Caenorhabditis elegans: one gene and its partners. The protein of the gene in region 2 purifies or fractionates together with the protein of the main gene of each other region. This does not show direct contact. Each region holds a gene or a part of one and is shown on either strand. Other genes may lie near its edges.

Region 1 (4,396 bases), on a different chromosome or scaffold from region 2:
AAATCATATAAAATCTAGAAAATTTTTTTGAATTTTTTATCATGATACGTAAATATACAACACTTATTGCTCACTTTTTTGTTTTAATTTTTTGTTTTTCATTCAATGGTATCTCATTCTTGCTTCTCATTTACAATGTTTTCACCGAGAACGTAAAATAACAGTTAAGTAACCATTGAAATCCGAGTGGAATTTGAACTTAAAACAAACAAAAAAAAAAATTGAATAGGAGTGTGCGGCTGACTGATTTTTTCGGCTTTCAGCTGGTACAGCGAGCTCTGCTAAAATTTTTACTATCCTATAAATTTTCTATCAGACGAAAATTTGTCGGTCGGCTGTCGGTTGGCTTTACCAGCAATTCCAATTTATCAACTGAGTAACTGTCATTTTTTGACAACTTTCAAACTTTTTTTGTGAAAAGTTTTACATTATTATATTCGGTCATTCTGGCACCATTCGTGTGGTTTTGAACACTTTATTAACTACAACTTTAAACATTTAAAATCGTTTTCCAATGAGTTGAAAACTCAACACTCTCCAAATTGAAACTAAAACTTTCACAGGGTGGTCCATAATTATGGCGACCACTTTGGGGCACTGTAACTTTTTTTTGGACAGCGAGCAAAAGAAGTGAATATACACATTTTATTGGTTAGAAAAAAACAAACTTAACGACATATAATACTTGATAGTTATCACCACCTACATCCGCACAGAACACAAGACACTCAAAAATCCGAATGGCCGTAGCGCACAAGTAGGCTCGATTTAGCTTATTGGTGATTTTTAAATGAGATACTTTGAGTGATTTATTATTTTGATTATATATTAAGAATACCCTTGATACAACAAAGCTTTTCACAAATAATTTTTGAGATTGGTGTCCGGTGACGGAAGTGGCATCTTGTGAAAATTGATAAAGTCAAGAAAAGCAAGCTCCCCCAAGTTTTGTGATTTTTCTTCCTTACCAACGCTCATTCATGTTGAAAATGCGAATGTGTCCAGTTTTAATTTGTCTTAGCTTAAAATGATAATTTGGTTTTCAATATTTCGATATATTCCACAGAATACAGAATGTTTGGGCAATTTTTTTTGCAACGGACTGTTTGCACTGTTATTAGAGGGCAAAAAACGACCTAAATCCGAACATAAGTTGGCTCAAAATATGTCTATCGTCTCGGATTTTGCTATTTTGAGTGTCGGAAGTCTTGATAATTATTTAAAACATAGAAACTAGTTGCTTGATCCTATGAGCGCAGCAGGAGACGTCGGGCGCTAGACCTCCTATAAAATGGAGGAAAATTATAGACTACCGATGTTGTAAGGCTCTCACTACTTTCAAAGTTGAAGCATGTTGTATGGAAATTGACGTGAACGACAGTAAATATTGTGAACTTTTTTTAAATAATCAAATTTTAAAACTTTCGTAACAGGGTAACCCCAGAAATCAAGTTCTTGCACGCGTGTAGCAGGTCGCCATAATTATGGACCACCCTGTATATTTCGAAAAATGAAAAATTACAAACCGATACTCCTCATTCAAACAAATCCAGACAAATAATCATTGTTTCTGAAAACTATTGGATCATGACCGTTCATCGTGGCCGCGGCCGAGTAAATGCGCATGTGCGCTCTATTGAACAGACCGCGGTGCGCCATCCTACATTCACAGCGGCAAGTGTTCTGGTGTCCACGCATTCTCTTCCCTTGTTTCGCAATCGATTTGCATTTGTATTTTTACAAGTATTTTTCTCCATTTTTCTCCTTTTTAATCAAAATTTTCATTTGTTTTTGGGCGATGATTCTTCATCCAATCTTCTTTGTTTTTGCTCTTTTTAAAAAGTTGTTTTTTTTTCATACTTTTGAAATACTTAATTGTATGGAATCTCATTATCTGCTCGTTTCTTAGTAACTCTAATTATTAAAATAATTCCCAGTTTACTGTTATTCAATTGTATTGTTTTTCAGACAATTCCTCAAATGTCGGCTTCTTTGCGCAAAAACGACCAAATCATTCGAGCATGCATTCTCTACGAAGCACTCGATAAGACTCGACTTTCAAAGGCCTATGAGAACTTCTGTAGGAAGGTTGGAAAGGACGCTATTCCACAAGAGGAGTTCGACTACTGGTACTATCATTTCTCCAACGTGAATGATAATTTGGACCATGATAAAAGGTAAAAATTGGTTTAAACATCAACCTAAAATTATAAATTTTTAAATCTTTCAGTCTCGATTCAAAATCGACTATGTATGCTCTCCCACTCAATATGATTCATTTCATCGTCGACAGGGTTGATTTCATTGACACGTAAGAGAGTTTTGAAAAAAAGTTGAATAAATAATAAAATATGAATTGCAGATTGGCTCTCGCAAAAGTATGCACAGGGTTCCGCGATGTCGTGAGAATCCCGGAAGTTGATCTCGAGGATTTTAACATCATTCACAATTATTCGGTTAATGGTTCGGATGAAAATAATTTTTCAAGGATCGAGTACGACGGATACAAAATCACTTACCAACCGGTAAATGGAGGATGCAAAGTTTCCTGTGTCGATCAGTATGACGACACAGAGCCGAAGTTGGAACCATCGAATAAATTCATTCAAGGAGGCGATGCCGTTCAGTTGTGCCACAATGACTTGAAATTGGTGTTGGAAAACCGAAGAGTGATACTGCAGAGTCTCATTATCGATTTCAGTATCGAGGAAAAAGATTTGTACACGAAATGCTTCACGGATATCACTAAGATGCTCAAGTCAACGAGAAGCATTGAGGTAGAAGACTTCGATGCACTTCAAGTATCGATCAGCGATTATGCCTCACTATTGGAGATCTTCCCTGCTGGAAAATTGGAATCACTCAATATCGATCCCTACACTTTCGATCGCGCGGAACTTGAAACCCTCGAGCATTGTGAGCATCTTTCAAGCATGGACCAATGGAAGATGGCTGAGAGGTTTTTTGGTAGAGGCTTCAGTTTGGATGTCCCAATTGGAAGCTTCTTCCATTTTAAATTATTCGACGTCGTGCTACGGGAGTTCACCGAAGAAGACGCTGTGAAACTTCGAGACGTGAGTTTATGTGAATATTGAAGATGATGTAGAAGGGATTGGGATTTCGCTTCAAGAAATCCAAAATTGTCTATAATTCAGAAATATTTACTAAAGAAAAAATTGAAAAAAAAAACGAGAAATGATGACAAATCCCAATTTTTGAACTTCCTCCAAAATAAGTAGACATGCCCAGTTTCCAATCAACCAACTTCTTCAGTTTTAGACTTCTTAGAAGTGCGCCACTTCACATTAAAAGGCAAAGTTCCCAGATTTGCAAAAGTCTTATTTTCAGATGATTGATGAATCTTCCGATTTCATAAGCGCTGATATCACTAGCAGAGTCATGGACCTACCAAGTGTTGCGAATGTTTTTGGACTTATCTTTGTCGCTAATGAAGAGGAAGACGAGCAAGCATTTGATTATTTCACTCCAGCCAATGCGAAGTTCACGGTTACTTTTGGAAAAAATGATGAGCCTGATGAAGACGATCCAGTTGACAAGTTCTCGATCAAAAAACGTTCCAATTCCGATTAAAATTGAATACTATCTTTACATGTAAATATTTGTATATAATTGTTTCATTTGTGAATGTAATATATTACAATGGCGATTAAAATCAAATTTTATCGTTATATGTGAATATTTGTATAGAATCATTTTGTTTGTAGATAATGTATTTAATGTCAACCTATATTGAGTATATTGTTATTTAGAGCCCCTTCCTTCCACTAACTCTAACTGAAAAATCTCACATTCCCCCGTTTAGAAGTTTTGCTCATTCTAATTTTCATTTTCCAGTGTTATATGATAAATGGTTGTGCATTGCAGTTCTCTTGGAAACAAGCAGATTTCCATTTGTCAGAAACTTCAGTTTGGAGTAAGTAATCGATATTCACTGGTGCTCAACTCGTGGTCTTCTGCCATAGTCGTAAAAGGTGCAAGGTACTATCTAATTAGAAAGGTGAACATGCACCTACAAACGGTTGTGAACAACAATAAAAAGAGCTGGTGGCATGACTTGGGAAGCCTGAAGTTCAACGCAGAAAAAACTATATAAGAATATCAAAATGTTTGACTGAATTGGCCATATTCAACAAAAAACATGAATTTTTCAGAAAAAAAGACGACAAAAATGTTCAATATTTAACTATCCAACAAAGCGGAAAGTCATACATAGTTTGGATGTAAAAATTATAATAATTGAAATCATGTTCAGACAAGATAACTGGCCAACTCGGATCATGTCTTTTTCGGTCACCCTAATATTAAAGTTAAACTTTACATGAAATTTTATCAGTTCACACAGATATACACTCGTTTCACACTTCAGAAGCACTCC
Region 2 (5,461 bases):
AGTAGACGCATTTTTTGAACCAGTCTGTTTAGACAATTCCCAGCCGGCTTATATGGAACACTTTTTGAAATTATAATGAATGAATTTGCATGATGAAATGGAAATTAGAGGAAATAATTTGCAAATTGAAAATCAGAAATTATTGATGTTTGATACCTTTATGAATTTTTCGAAAGTTTTATATTTGAAAATTTTACCTTTTTTATCTTTCAAATTTTGAAGATAGAGAAACGAATTCGAGAAAATGTAATTGTCTTTCTTCCTGCACTGTTAGATGAAAATGGCTTAATGAACTGATGGTGCCTAGATCACCATCTCACTCGGGTGGCTCACAAACAACGTGCGAATATGGTCGTTTTCGTGAAGCGTAAAAATGGGCCCTTTGCGGCCTAATGCGGATACCATTTCAAGACACAGACCTGGCAAAGTGAACAGTTGTAAATTTTAGGCATTCGGAAAGCTCTTTCTATAAAAACATTTCTCGACTAACAGAATGGACAATTTCAATAAAAATTCATTTTTTCATGGCTCAATACATCAGTTCAGTTCAAGTATCTAGTAGTAGTCCAGTTATTTTTGCTCCTCGTCTTTTTTCTCTTCATCTCCCAAAATGTTACTGGCTTGACGAGCAATTGTTTTAGTCTGAAAATCAAAACATTCAGAAAATGAAAATACATACAGAAAACTGACATGACTAGTAGTATTTGCACTTGTGAGATTCCATTCTGAGCTCTTTTCCCACAACTTTTGTCCTTTGAATGTGAAACCAAGAATTTCAACTTCTGGATGTTTTTCAGCAAGAAGCATGAAATTAACATTAAGCACAAGTCGTTTCTTGTCAATGAGCATATCCAATTGAACACTCTCAGGGAAAGCACGTTGTCCATAAGAAGTTGAAGGAACTGTTTCAGAATTCACTTTGATTGGTGTCATTTCCAAAGTTTGATGGGTTTCTTTGACTTAAAATTATAATATTTTTGACTGAATATATAAAAATTAAGAATTAAACTAACCTGCACTCAAAGTCACAATATTCGACTCATCCGTCTGATTGAATGTTCTCTTCAAAGTTGGAGTTGCAGGAGATGAAGCTCTCGATCTGGCTCTCAATCTCTCACTCAGATTCACTTTTTCCTCTTTCACAGTTTCTTCTTTCTTCTCACTAATCTCAGGTGGCTTTCCATCTTCTTGGCGAACTTCACGAATGACTTTAGTTTCCTTCACGCGAAGTGTTCCTTTTGGAGATTTTGAAGCAGATCTGGGACCAGTAGAAGCTGCAACACGTTCTTTATGCAAATCTTTAGCAGACATAAAAGTCGAATTGGCTGATCCAGTGTTGTACATGTAGACGGAGGTGCCAGGAGAAGTTGGAGGTTTTGAACTGATCATGGAAGATGTTACATCAGTTTTTCTTGCCTCTTCCTTCTTTTCCAACAAACTGGCCAAATTCTTCGATGCAGATGGTTTCTTCAAGCTCAAACTTTTATCCAAATCAATTTCATTGTCACCGTTTCTTGAAACTGATCGCTCTCTAATGCTCATTGCACCACGCCGAGACGGACCCTCGTCGGGAGTTTTCTGCATGGAATTCTTCACTTTGGATTCAAGAACTGAAGAGTTGAGAGAAGAAGCTGGACTTTTCGGAGTGGACGTGGCTTTCGGGAAAGATTGATAAAAAGTCTCATTCCCCGTTGAGTCGACATGCTCTGAAACCTTAATCTCACTCAACTTGATTGGATCCTGATCTGGACGAGCATCCTTCTTGCATGACTGTCTATCAGGACTTGGAGTTCTGTTAGTTTTACTATCCCTCTTTTGGAGAGCCTTATGTCTCTTGGCACGAGAACGAGATCTACGCGAAGAACCAGAAATATTCGGAGTCTTTGGAGAATTGATGGAAGAAGAATTTTTGGAAGATGAACTGGTTGATGCTGGAGGTGCAGAAGGTTTCGTTCCTTGGAGAATAGATACCACTGATTTTCCAACAGTTTTGTTATCATCCTTCTTTTTCTCATCGAAGAAGAACTTGAGTTCTCTGTATTCTGACGTTTCTTCTCCAAATGATCCCATTTCGTGATGCCACATTTCCTTCATTTCAGCGACAGAACTGTGACGAATTGTGATTCTGAAAGTTTTTGATTTCAAACTACATTTATAAATTAATCAGACTCCTACGCTTTTATTAAAAAGTAACAGTCACTTACCCAATGTTTTTGCTGTCAAACATGAGATCCTCACTGAAAGTGATAGTCTTGGTTGGATCAAATGTGGTCTTGGAAGAGTTAATCGAAACATTTCTGTAAAATTTAAATGAGATAAAGTTTACCATTGACAAATCGCTCACCCAGAGACATTAACCCCAGTAAGACCAATCTTAAATTCCTCAGATCTGATGTACTTCTGATCAACAACAGAAATAGTTTCCGAACATTGAACATTCAGAAATCCTTCCGTTGATTTTCCATGATCTCCCGAGATTTTCGTCTTGCAAATGTTTGCATAGCTCTTCTCTTCTGTGATGGACGAAGTTTTACCCGAACGAATCTTTCTCACATTCTGCACTGTATGAATATAAATTCCTTTGGAGGAATAGTGAATCTTCGTAGCAAACTCTTCTTCTGGTTCATCGTCTGATGACTTGTTCAAATCTGTTGACGAACGAGAAGTTCCAACATACTCAGCTTCAACCATTTCAGCAAACAACAGCTTACGGTCATCAAGGGAGAGCTTCTTGGAAGTCAAAAGAACTTTGGTCACAAACTGAACAGTCTTCTTTTCACTTGCACCAATGACTTGTTGCTCGGTGAGAATAAAAAGAGGAGATGGAAGATTAATGCAATCCGGTGGTGGCAGTTTTTTTGATCCAACTGAACTTTTTTTGGTCAAATGTGTTGGGAGGCGAAGGGGAGGAAGAGGTTGAATAGGTTTCTCAATCTGAAATAGAATATTTAGATGGATGTAGGAATACATAATTTGTTACCTTTTCTGGACGATCTCTGTAGCGAATTGGAATTGATTGAGCACGAGTACGTGAAGTTGATCTAGATCGAGAACGAGATGCTGACGATGATGGAGACCGACGACGAGCACTTCTAGATCTTCTCAGCTTGCCACCACTTGCAGATCTAGTACGAGCAAGGCGGATTTGTTGGTTCATTGTCGATCGGCTTCTGCTTCGGCTTCTACTTCTGGAACGAGAAGATGCAGTAGACTGAGCACTTCGGATAGCACTATTCACAATAGCCTGACGTCGAAGATCAGCTGATCCACGTCGAGCACGTTTTGGGTTCTCAACTTCACTGATAATTGTGATCTTTCTTTTTGTATCCTTCTCAAGTTTGATTGTAATCTCTGCTGGTGGCTGATCACTTGCAGAGACATAAAGACTTTCTTTGTCGCTCATCGAATCAACTTCAGTGCTTTTCTGGAAAATTACTCTAATTGTAAAAGTTAGTTTTTAAAAGGATTTCACGAACAGTTTACTGCATAAATTGTGAATGAAATCCAGAGTTTGACTCACCTTATCACTAGAACGTTTCTTGCTCTCCATATTTTAATTTCGTTGTCAGCGAAATAAATTTAAACTGCCAGAAATCTCCTTTAAATATAGACGATTGACCTTTCGATTCTAGCGGTCACGGAAATAATATTTCAACTCTCGTAATTTCTAATATTTTGTTAAATTTTTTAAAAGTTATTTGTTATACATTTTTCATCCCATTTGAGGCGTCCTCTCGAAAAAATAAAGTTTACATTTCAGAAATATATGTCCTTTATGTTCTAAAACTGTTGAACTAATAAATCCGATTACTCTTTGCCAACTCTTATCAATAATTAATAGAGACTAGAGAGTTTAGAGAGACGCCGAGAAAATTGATAATCTCGTTGAATTGAATTAAATTTTTACTGAACTGTGAGGAGTGGTATACTTTCTAAACGAAAATTATGACACTGAATATGAAAAAGCTATTAATCCTAACAGCCATTGGTAAGTCTATAAATATATTTTCAAAACAATCCATAAATTCGAGGTACATCATTGGCAAACGCCTCGTGTGACACTACAAAGTTCGTTGCCTGCCAGGACAAATTTGCAGATAAATTGGGAATCGATAGAGTTTTTAATTGGTTAGTTGAACGCGAATTAATCTTAATTTTTTTTTGATTCTAGGTTGAACCCTCTTGGTCTCACACTTCAAATTCAAGATATCTACATAAATGGTGGAACTGGTGGTGTTAGAGGATTGAATGCTGTTTGCAAGTAAGTAAAGTCAACAAGGGTTTTGTTGTAAGTTGTTACACTCCAGATGATTACCAGAGGACTATTGTATCAAAGAGAGCTAATTTTGGTAGAGACAAAGAATTACAGGTTTTAAAAATTTGTTTTGATTTATTGTTCGGCTCAAAAAGTGAAAGATTTTAAACCGGGTGGGCTGATGGGAGGGTCTCTCATTCGCCTTTTCCGTAGCTCTACGAGCAGCCTCTACTTACTCTTTTTCTGCGCATCATAGTGCATCGGGCGCTTTTCCTGAGCAAAAAACGGAGAGGCGTTTTATGTACACCGGGGAATTTCTAGTTTGTAGAAGTGAATGATTTATCAGACAAAAATAAAATACAAAATTATTGCGAGGATTTATAAAATCTTCGATTTCACTGATCATAATAAATTTCAACTTCAGTTCATATAATTCAATGGTTCAGTGTCTTGCCGATGCATCAACAACGACTTTTGAATGTTTTGACATAGGATATCTCTTGAATCATTCAAATGCTCCAAACCAAGCATATTCATATGGTTTCTTGATGAGTATGCTACAGTATCAATGTGGAGCTGGTTTTTATCGTAAGTTCCAGAAAGAATTGTACACTTCTGAAATATTTATATTTTCAGTGGCTTCTGACAATTGGTCGTGTATGCAGCGAATCTACAATGGAAAGAATGCAACAATGTACGGATGTATTACTGATTTCGTGCTCAATGCTCAAGAAGATCCGAAGAAGGTGAGAAAACTAAAATTCTTAAAACTTTTGTTTTGTAAATCAAAAACAAAGGTTAACACAGAAAAGCATAGAGTTCAACTAATAAGTGTGAACTTATTGATACCAACACACTATTCGATCTCACCACGAACTAATTATTTTCAAATCGGAGATGTGCCTTTAATAAGTACAGTAACCAATTTTTTCTTGCTGAACATCGAGAACTGGGTTACTGTATTCCTTAAAGGCGCATATATTTTTTGCCGCCTTCCTTCCAAAAAATTTTGGTTCGTGGCGAGAGCGCGCCTAAAACTTTTTCAAGCATAAATAACCATTTGAAGGGTTGCAACTATGTTCAAACTGGAATGGATTGTTTTTCGAAAGCATCAATACTCCAAGGATGTCCAGATGAGCTGAAATATTATGGATGCGAGTCTTTCCGTCAGTATTCTCTTCCACAATTTGCCCGTTGTGAGAAGCA
Region 3 (7,352 bases), on a different chromosome or scaffold from region 2:
GCTTCCCTCATATTTTGAAGTGGAAGATTTTGACAGGTTAGGCCATTTGAGCTCGGCCATATCTGGGGTAGATTTACGGCTCGTTGCGTGTCGCGTCGCGGCACGGTTTTCTTTGTAAAACAAAATGTATTTGCCCGTGTGGGGCACACGATTTCCCACGCGTTGTCCAGCAGGAGATTGCCAATGGAGCGCGAAAAATGCAATGAGGAAGGCAAGAAGCCCGTGAAAAACCGACTAATTTATGGCTTTTCGAGAAACGTATCAAATTGGCCTGAGAAATCTAAAATTCGGCCATAATTTTTTAAATTTATTGCATCAGAGTGGCCGAGTTTTCTTTTTCTAGGCCATATACTCCTCTCGGACAAAAAAAATCGTTTTTTTTTCGAATTTTTTGTGCTGAAACTATAGTTTTTGTATTTATTTATTGTGTATTATGTATTCAGAGTGCTCAATTTAATTTCCTGTTCAATATCGTAACAGTATACATAGAAGAGAACACAATCACAGAGAAACGATAGAAATTGTTGTTTATTTGGAGGGAAGCCATCTCCTCCTCCACCAAAGTGTTCGTTTTTTTCTTCAGGCGTTTTCTCTACGTCTCTCCATCACTTCAGTGCAATTCCGCTGTCTCTAGGCTCTACAGACAGTCTAGAAGGCTCCAGAAGAGCATGAGAGCACACTTTGGGGACGGGAGGCTTTGTTTATTCGGGTTTTGAGAGAGATAGATGAAAATGGTCACAAATCGAATAGATTTTGTTTTATGAGATTTTTTAGCCTGACTTCGGAATGTCCAATTTTTCCTTTGTTTTCTTTCTTCTTCTAGATTTTATGGAATTTCAGAGTATTTCTCTTTTTTCACCCCCCCCCCCCCCTCCCCCCCCCCCTCTGGTTCAATCCGAGTGTGCGCCGGTGTTCGAATATAACGCAGAGATCAGTACACACACACAAAGAGCCCCTCCGGTGCGCATTGAGTCTGTGATAGCGGGTTTCTCGGCGGTTTTATGTGAAAAATAGGGTGGAAAACAAGAACATTTGTCTAGTTGTGGTTTTAGAAGAAGAGAAGCTGAGGGAGAAGAAGCTGATGATTCTTGAACGTGGGAAAATGGGAGGAAGATGGAACGTTCCAGAGGGGGCTTGAGCTATGGCTAGTCGTGCATTCTTTAAGAAGAAGTATAGCCACACATTTTTTCTCCTTCTACTTGCGAGAAATCTCTTTTTTTAAAGAAAATGCAGAAAAAAAAATTCTAGCGATTAAAAATTTTGAAAAAATAGGTATAATTTTTAGGGAAATTCGTACATTTGGGCACATGAAGCAAAAAAACCCAGAACAGTTATTATGCAGAAAAATGGCAAAACAATGAAGGAAATTTTGGTGGAATGGCAACAGAGTACGGTAATACATCACAATTGAGGCGCAAAGTTTTGAAATTATTTTTTTAATCACCGAATTCGGCCAAATTCTCTCAAAAAACGTTCCGCACAGTGCGGAAAAGCGTGAAAAACTTGAGTTTTAAACTCCATAAAGATTCTTTTATAGTTTTTCCACAATTTTCTCACCAAAAATTAGGTTTTTCCTCATTTTACCACAATTAATCTCCATTTTTCACCCTTATCACATTCCCAAATCTCGAAAAATGTGATGACAACCTTTATTAATCTTTTAGATCACAAAGATGCAAAGAGATTCGTCTCAAAGATAATTTTTTTCGTCCAGTTCCTTCCGCGGTTTCTGATCACAATTGCTTGTAATTTCGTTGTTTTTTTGAAAACTTTTGAATATAATATTCGAATATTTCCAGACAGACATTTCCAATTTTCTTTTGCTGACTCAGTTTCTTTTTCTCGAATTTATTTTCAAAATTTCCTTAGAAAACTGAGTTTTTTCAGAAACGGGTCGCGAAAATTCTTCATTTACTCACCTCGCAGCAATATAAAAAGATCTACACAATGCACACTACAACTAAAAGACGAAAAGCCATGGATTGGCTCAATTTTGATCCGATTCCAGAAGTTGATCGGTAAAGTTTTAAAAAATATTTTTTGAAAACGAATTGAATTTCTGAATTTAAAATTATTTCTGCCAAGCAGCCTCTAATCAATGTTCTAAATTTCGGGTGTCGGCTGGTACAGCCAGCCAACAAATTTGGTCAAGTTTGGGAAAAATTTGCAACAATTTCTTTAAAATTATTGATTTTCATGAAAATTTTCACCAGCCGACAGCCGACGAAAATTTATCTGCAGTACTGCAGTAGACTGTCGGCTGGCGCTACCAGCTGAGAAACCCCAATGTTCGGCTGTCGGTTGGCACCGCCAACCTGCCCCTCCCCGTCTCGAACTAATTTCCCTCACGTTTCCAGATTATTCCGTTTCACATGTAAACACCCAACTCTACATGTTCATATGACAGGAAGTTATGGCCATATGTTCGTTGATATAAGTGATCTACCAGCTTCGGCTCGTCATTATCTTGCACTAATGGCTGCATCACGTCACAGATGCCTATCACTTATGGATCATCATCGTCGCAAATTTCTGGAAAAGGGTGGACAACAAATGTGGTTGTTGGGCATTGATTGGTCATACATGAAATTTCGAAAATTGGATTATTTGAATCGAATGCTCTGTCATAGACCATGGATGATTCATTGGAAAAATCTAGCGGTAATTTGAAATTTTATTGAATTTTTAGAGATTTTCAAACCTCAAAAAGTAAAAATTAGGCATTTTCCGATTTTTCAAAGCTATATATACCGTATATCTTCTATTAATATGGCCTCCCTATTAGATTTGCACTCCCTATTAGTATTGCCCCTCGGAGACCTTCCGAAAATTAGTATTGCACTCCCTATTAGTGTTGCACTCCCTAATAGTCTTGCACCTACTTTTTTTTGTTGCAAACACTCCTTACTAATTTTAAAATTTTAATAACATTTTTTGCCTATTTTGCAACAGTTTATAACAAAATTTTTAGAGATTGAAGTTATTGTACCTTTTTGTTGCAATTTCAATCAAATTTTCTATACTTCCAAATAAAATTGGAGTTTTTTCAAGTAGAATCTAGTAAGCCCCAACACAGAAAAATTTTCTGAAGAATAGTATGGCACTCCCTATTAGACTTGCACTCCCTAATAGTATTGCAAGCGGGAAGACCATCGAAAAATAGTATTGCAGCCATATTAATAGAAGAAATACGGTAGGTTATTTAGAAAAGTTATTTAGAAAACCTTGAAAAATTTCTAAAAATAAAGAATATTCAGAACTGGTTTCTGATTTTGCAAATATTGAAATCTTCAGAAAGTTCTTGGAAATCTTTTCTTTTCTGAATATTACGGGAACACCATATTCTAAGAATGCGTATTTCACAACATATTTCACGCGCAAAATATCTCGAAGCGAAAACTACCGGAATTCTTTGAATGTCTACTCGAAATGAATTAAAGTAATTTAGTTATGAATTGAATATTAAAATTAAGCAAATAATGATAAAATAATAGGAAGAAAAGAAGGAAAATGGAATATCACTGTCACTTCTCGAAAAGAAAATTATTTCAAAAACCGAACCCGTAAATCGACACAAGCGCTACAGTAGTCATTTAAAGAATAACTGTAGTTTTCGCTACGAGATGCTTTGCGCGTCAAATATGTTGCTCAATGCGCATTCTCAGAGTTTAGTTTTCCAGTAATAATTTGGTAGCGAAATTCTGAAATTTGTAATATTTTACAATCACGATAGTTGAAAAGGGATTGTAAATTATTTTAAAAAAAAATTACAAGACAAAATAAGATGCGTCTCTCTTTGCCATATGCTCTCTCGTTGCCGTGGCCTGCCAATATTTTCGCGCCAGTAAATAGGAATTCTCATGATCTCATGGTCCCGTAATAAAAAAATGTTCTTTCAAAAAAAAAACAACGTTTTTTCAAAACAAATTCTGCCAACTCCAATGCCAAGAGAACGAACGTATAACAACGATGTTAGGTTTTTCTCAAGAATTTGAAAATTTCCAGGTGCTCTTCGCTCGCCGCACGCCAGACGGTGGTCCTGCGTTTTTCTCGGTTTGCTCTCTCCACCACGCCGTCGGAATAATGTCAATGACTCACGCAATGTGCACAGTTATATGCTGTATTGGATTGGAACGTCGTGTTGATTTGACACAAGATGAGATTGATTTCCTTAATATCGATGATCTCGACTATTGGGAGGCGAGAATGTCGGCCTATTTCCGAAAAGTCCCAGATCGTCGGCCAACTGAAGTCGAATATTTGATCAGTGAGCTGAAAAAGACGGAAAAAGGACAAACTAGGCCACCAGCGAAGATGTGTGCAATGACTACTGAAACTATTGAATCATTAATTAGTGCTCCTGCAGCAACATATAGTTCCAATCGGAAAAACTACTCGCCTGTACTTCTTCTTGCAAATATCGATGAAAATGGAGAAGATATTATGGAAAAAGAGCCGCCGTGTAATTATCCAATTTACTCGCATCATCGAACATTTGGATATATTGATTTTAGAAAGCGACCTGAAAAGGATATTCCGCCATTCCGAGTTGAAGAATTTGGATGGGATCATGTTTATAATACGATGAATGAGTATACGGATACACTGACGTCACGGCTTGATCGAATGTTCGATCATATTCGGACTCTTACTGGCAATATGTTAGTGATGATTTCTCTAACAAAGTAGACCAAAAATTCGCATAAATATTATACGTGAACGCACAATTTTGAGAATACGTACTACGCAACATGTTTGAAGCGCGAAATATTTCGTGGCGGAAACTGGTCTTTAAATGACTACTGTGTCGATCGCTCGTGTCGATTTACTGGCTCGATTTTTGAAATTAAAAAAATTAATTTCTTCTTATATTCTTCTCAATTTTAGCTAAATTTTAATATTCTATCGATAAACAAATTCAATTCGTATAACGAACCCGTAAATCGACACAGTGAAAGTTGTAAGAAATCTAGTTGAATTTGGTAATTTTGTTAAAATATTCGAGATGCATGAAATTTCAAAAACAGAAAAATATAATAATTCCAAAAAATTAATTTTTCAGGCCATCCGGCTCATCCCATGCATCTGGAGACGGAGAACCACCAGCCGCCGTGAATCAGAATGAAATTGACACTGCTGCATTCCGTGAAGCAATTTGGAACTATACTCAAGGATTATATGGTGTTCGAGTCGATGATTATGATTATTCGAAAATTAATCGAGTACTTGACAAAGGAACTAAAACTTTCATTAAACTGGCAGCTTGCTATCCACATAAATTGACAACTGAATTCACGAGAGCTCTGCCAGGATTTAAGGATTCGGAAAAGGTTTAGACTCAGAAGTTGAACACTTTTTTTGAATAAAATTTCTACACAACATTGAATTTGAATATTTTTGGAGCAGAAAGGAAAAAATTCCAAAAAAAACTCGGAAAAAATCGAAAAAAAATTCCGAAAAAAACACAGTTTAAATATTATTTTTTTTGAAAAATATTTAAATTTTAAAAATCATGTGAATACTTTTTTGTATCAGAATTTTTTAATGTGGAAGTTCGGTGTAAACTTTGAAAACTGTAAAGTTCAGAAAAAAAACACAATCATCAAAACCAAAAATTAGAAAAAAAATTGTTTTTACAAATTTATTAATCGAAAAAAATCAGGAAAATAATTCAAAAACCAAATAATATTTTTCTTAATTCGGGAAAAATCGAACAATTTTTTAGCGAAAAAAATTCGTTAAATTCAAAAGAATCTAATAATTCTGAATAAAATTTTAAAAAATGCGGAAAAAAAATCAAAAAGTTGAAAAAAAGTTTTTACTGAAAGAAATTTTAAAATTCAAGAAAATCTTTAAAATTGGGTAACAAAAAAATTTGGAAATGTATACGGAAAAAATACGCTTAAAAAAATATATAAAATTTTCTACAAGCTTTTGAATTTTGATTTTTCAAAGAATTCAATTTATCTCACAATCATAACTTTTCCAGAAAATTTTCGAATCATCAAACTTTAATTTTTTCAGATCCACGTGGTAATGATGGTAGCGATGGCTCGTTTCCAGGCTTCAATGTTCCATTATACACGTGCTGTGTGTAACTATAATGCAATGTGCCTCTCGAAAAAAGGATGGAGAAAGCCTTTGGATTGATCAGCTCGCGGAGCTCGAAATACATATTTTTCTCCAATTCTTTCTCCGAATCTTACATATTTTGCCCAATTTTGTTAATATTTCCTATTCCCTCCCTTTCTACCACACATTCTCGCTAGCGTTCGTGCACACAAGTGCGCTCCACGGGCAAATAGTGTGCTGGAGCGCACATTTCCTTTCTAGAATACTTTTGTTCGAATTGTTCTGTTAAGTGAAACCAAACTCATATAATATTCAAAATTTTAAACAAAAAAATTTATAAAACTTCTTGTTGAAAATTCCAAAAAAAAACAGTTTTTGTTCAATTTTTTCGTCACAAATTTCAAAAATCGACATTTTTGAAATTGTCTACTCAATTTTTCGCTGCATTTTTTCACAAAACACTCCATCCATCACGATCCCCAGATTTTTACCGGTTTTTGCGAATTTGTACGCTTTTATGCCCAATTTAGTGTACAAATTCAAGCAGGGGTTTTCCAACTTAAAAATACTTTTTTCTAATTTTTCTTGCTGATTTCCTTCAAAATCGAGTAGTTTTTGATGGCTTTACTGACTTTTTTCCTGAAAATTTTAATTTTTTCTGCATATTATTTTTATTTTCTCGCTAAAATTCCAATTTTACAGTCCATACATGTTTTTTTTCTTTTTCACTAATTCTACACTCATATGAATAAAGCACATATTATTATAATTTTTCCCCTAATATTTGACATTCAGGAAAAAATTTAAAATTAAAAATATAAAGGATAATTTCTTTGAAACTACAGTAATCCGAGAGATTTTAAAGGCGCATATAGGATTCTGGAAAAGAATCATTTTGCGCATTTTATTTTTATTGGAAAAATCATTTTATAAAAATAATTTTAATGGGTGTTTTATAGAAAAACTATAGTATTTACGCAAAAGTATAGAAAGTAGCCTAAAAAATACAAAAATAATTATTTTTGCCTATTTTCAGCGGTTTCAAGAGTTTACCTAAATATTTGAAGCAGTTTTCCTCTAAATTTGAATATTGAACGCAAAAACACCAATATGTTCCCGAAAAAAGAAATCCAAAATAAACTACGAGAATCCGATTAATTCCTGTTTGAAAAACCGCCAATTGTACATTTGCGATAGAGTGCGCTTGCAGCAGTATAGACTCGCCCTTCCGCGGAGATTGATTCACGGTTTCAAATTTGATTCATAATAATTTTGTAGTT

The links. The genes of interacting proteins can lie anywhere in the genome.
Region 1: the proteins of F49C12.15 (region 2) and fbxa-170 fractionate together in Caenorhabditis elegans (co-fractionation; one large-scale study listed by BioGRID). This does not show direct contact.
Region 3: the proteins of F49C12.15 (region 2) and sesn-1 fractionate together in Caenorhabditis elegans (co-fractionation; one large-scale study listed by BioGRID). This does not show direct contact.

The regions. Positions count from the first base shown.
Region 1 is NC_003284.9:1,675,692-1,680,087, reverse strand, and holds fbxa-170 (F-box domain-containing protein), read left to right. Parts: upstream 1-1,966; 5' UTR 1,967-1,980; coding exon 1,981-2,177; intron 2,178-2,230; coding exon 2,231-2,311; intron 2,312-2,362; coding exon 2,363-3,074; intron 3,075-3,348; coding exon 3,349-3,591; 3' UTR 3,592-3,883; downstream 3,884-4,396.
Region 2 is NC_003282.8:9,322,560-9,328,020, reverse strand, and holds F49C12.15 (Serine/arginine repetitive matrix protein 2-like), read right to left. Parts: upstream 3,566-5,461; 5' UTR 3,551-3,565; coding exon 3,521-3,550; intron 3,425-3,520; coding exon 2,981-3,424; intron 2,935-2,980; coding exon 2,345-2,934; intron 2,298-2,344; coding exon 2,205-2,297; intron 2,126-2,204; coding exon 1,014-2,125; intron 960-1,013; coding exon 691-959; intron 643-690; coding exon 571-642; 3' UTR 505-570; downstream 1-504. Other genes in the region: clec-183 (C-type lectin domain-containing protein), read right to left, coding at 1-11; nspg-11 (DUF19 domain-containing protein), read left to right, coding at 3,946-3,988, 4,032-4,128, 4,172-4,261, 4,680-4,843, 4,892-5,001, 5,322-5,461.
Region 3 is NC_003279.8:27,078-34,429, reverse strand, and holds sesn-1 (Sestrin homolog), read left to right. Parts: upstream 1-1,881; 5' UTR 1,882-1,947; coding exon 1,948-2,018; intron 2,019-2,357; coding exon 2,358-2,661; intron 2,662-2,886; exon of another isoform or gene 2,887-2,907; intron 2,908-4,005; coding exon 4,006-4,661; intron 4,662-5,062; coding exon 5,063-5,330; intron 5,331-6,024; coding exon 6,025-6,150; 3' UTR 6,151-6,839; downstream 6,840-7,352. UniProt on the Caenorhabditis elegans protein: May function as a negative feedback regulator of TOR function.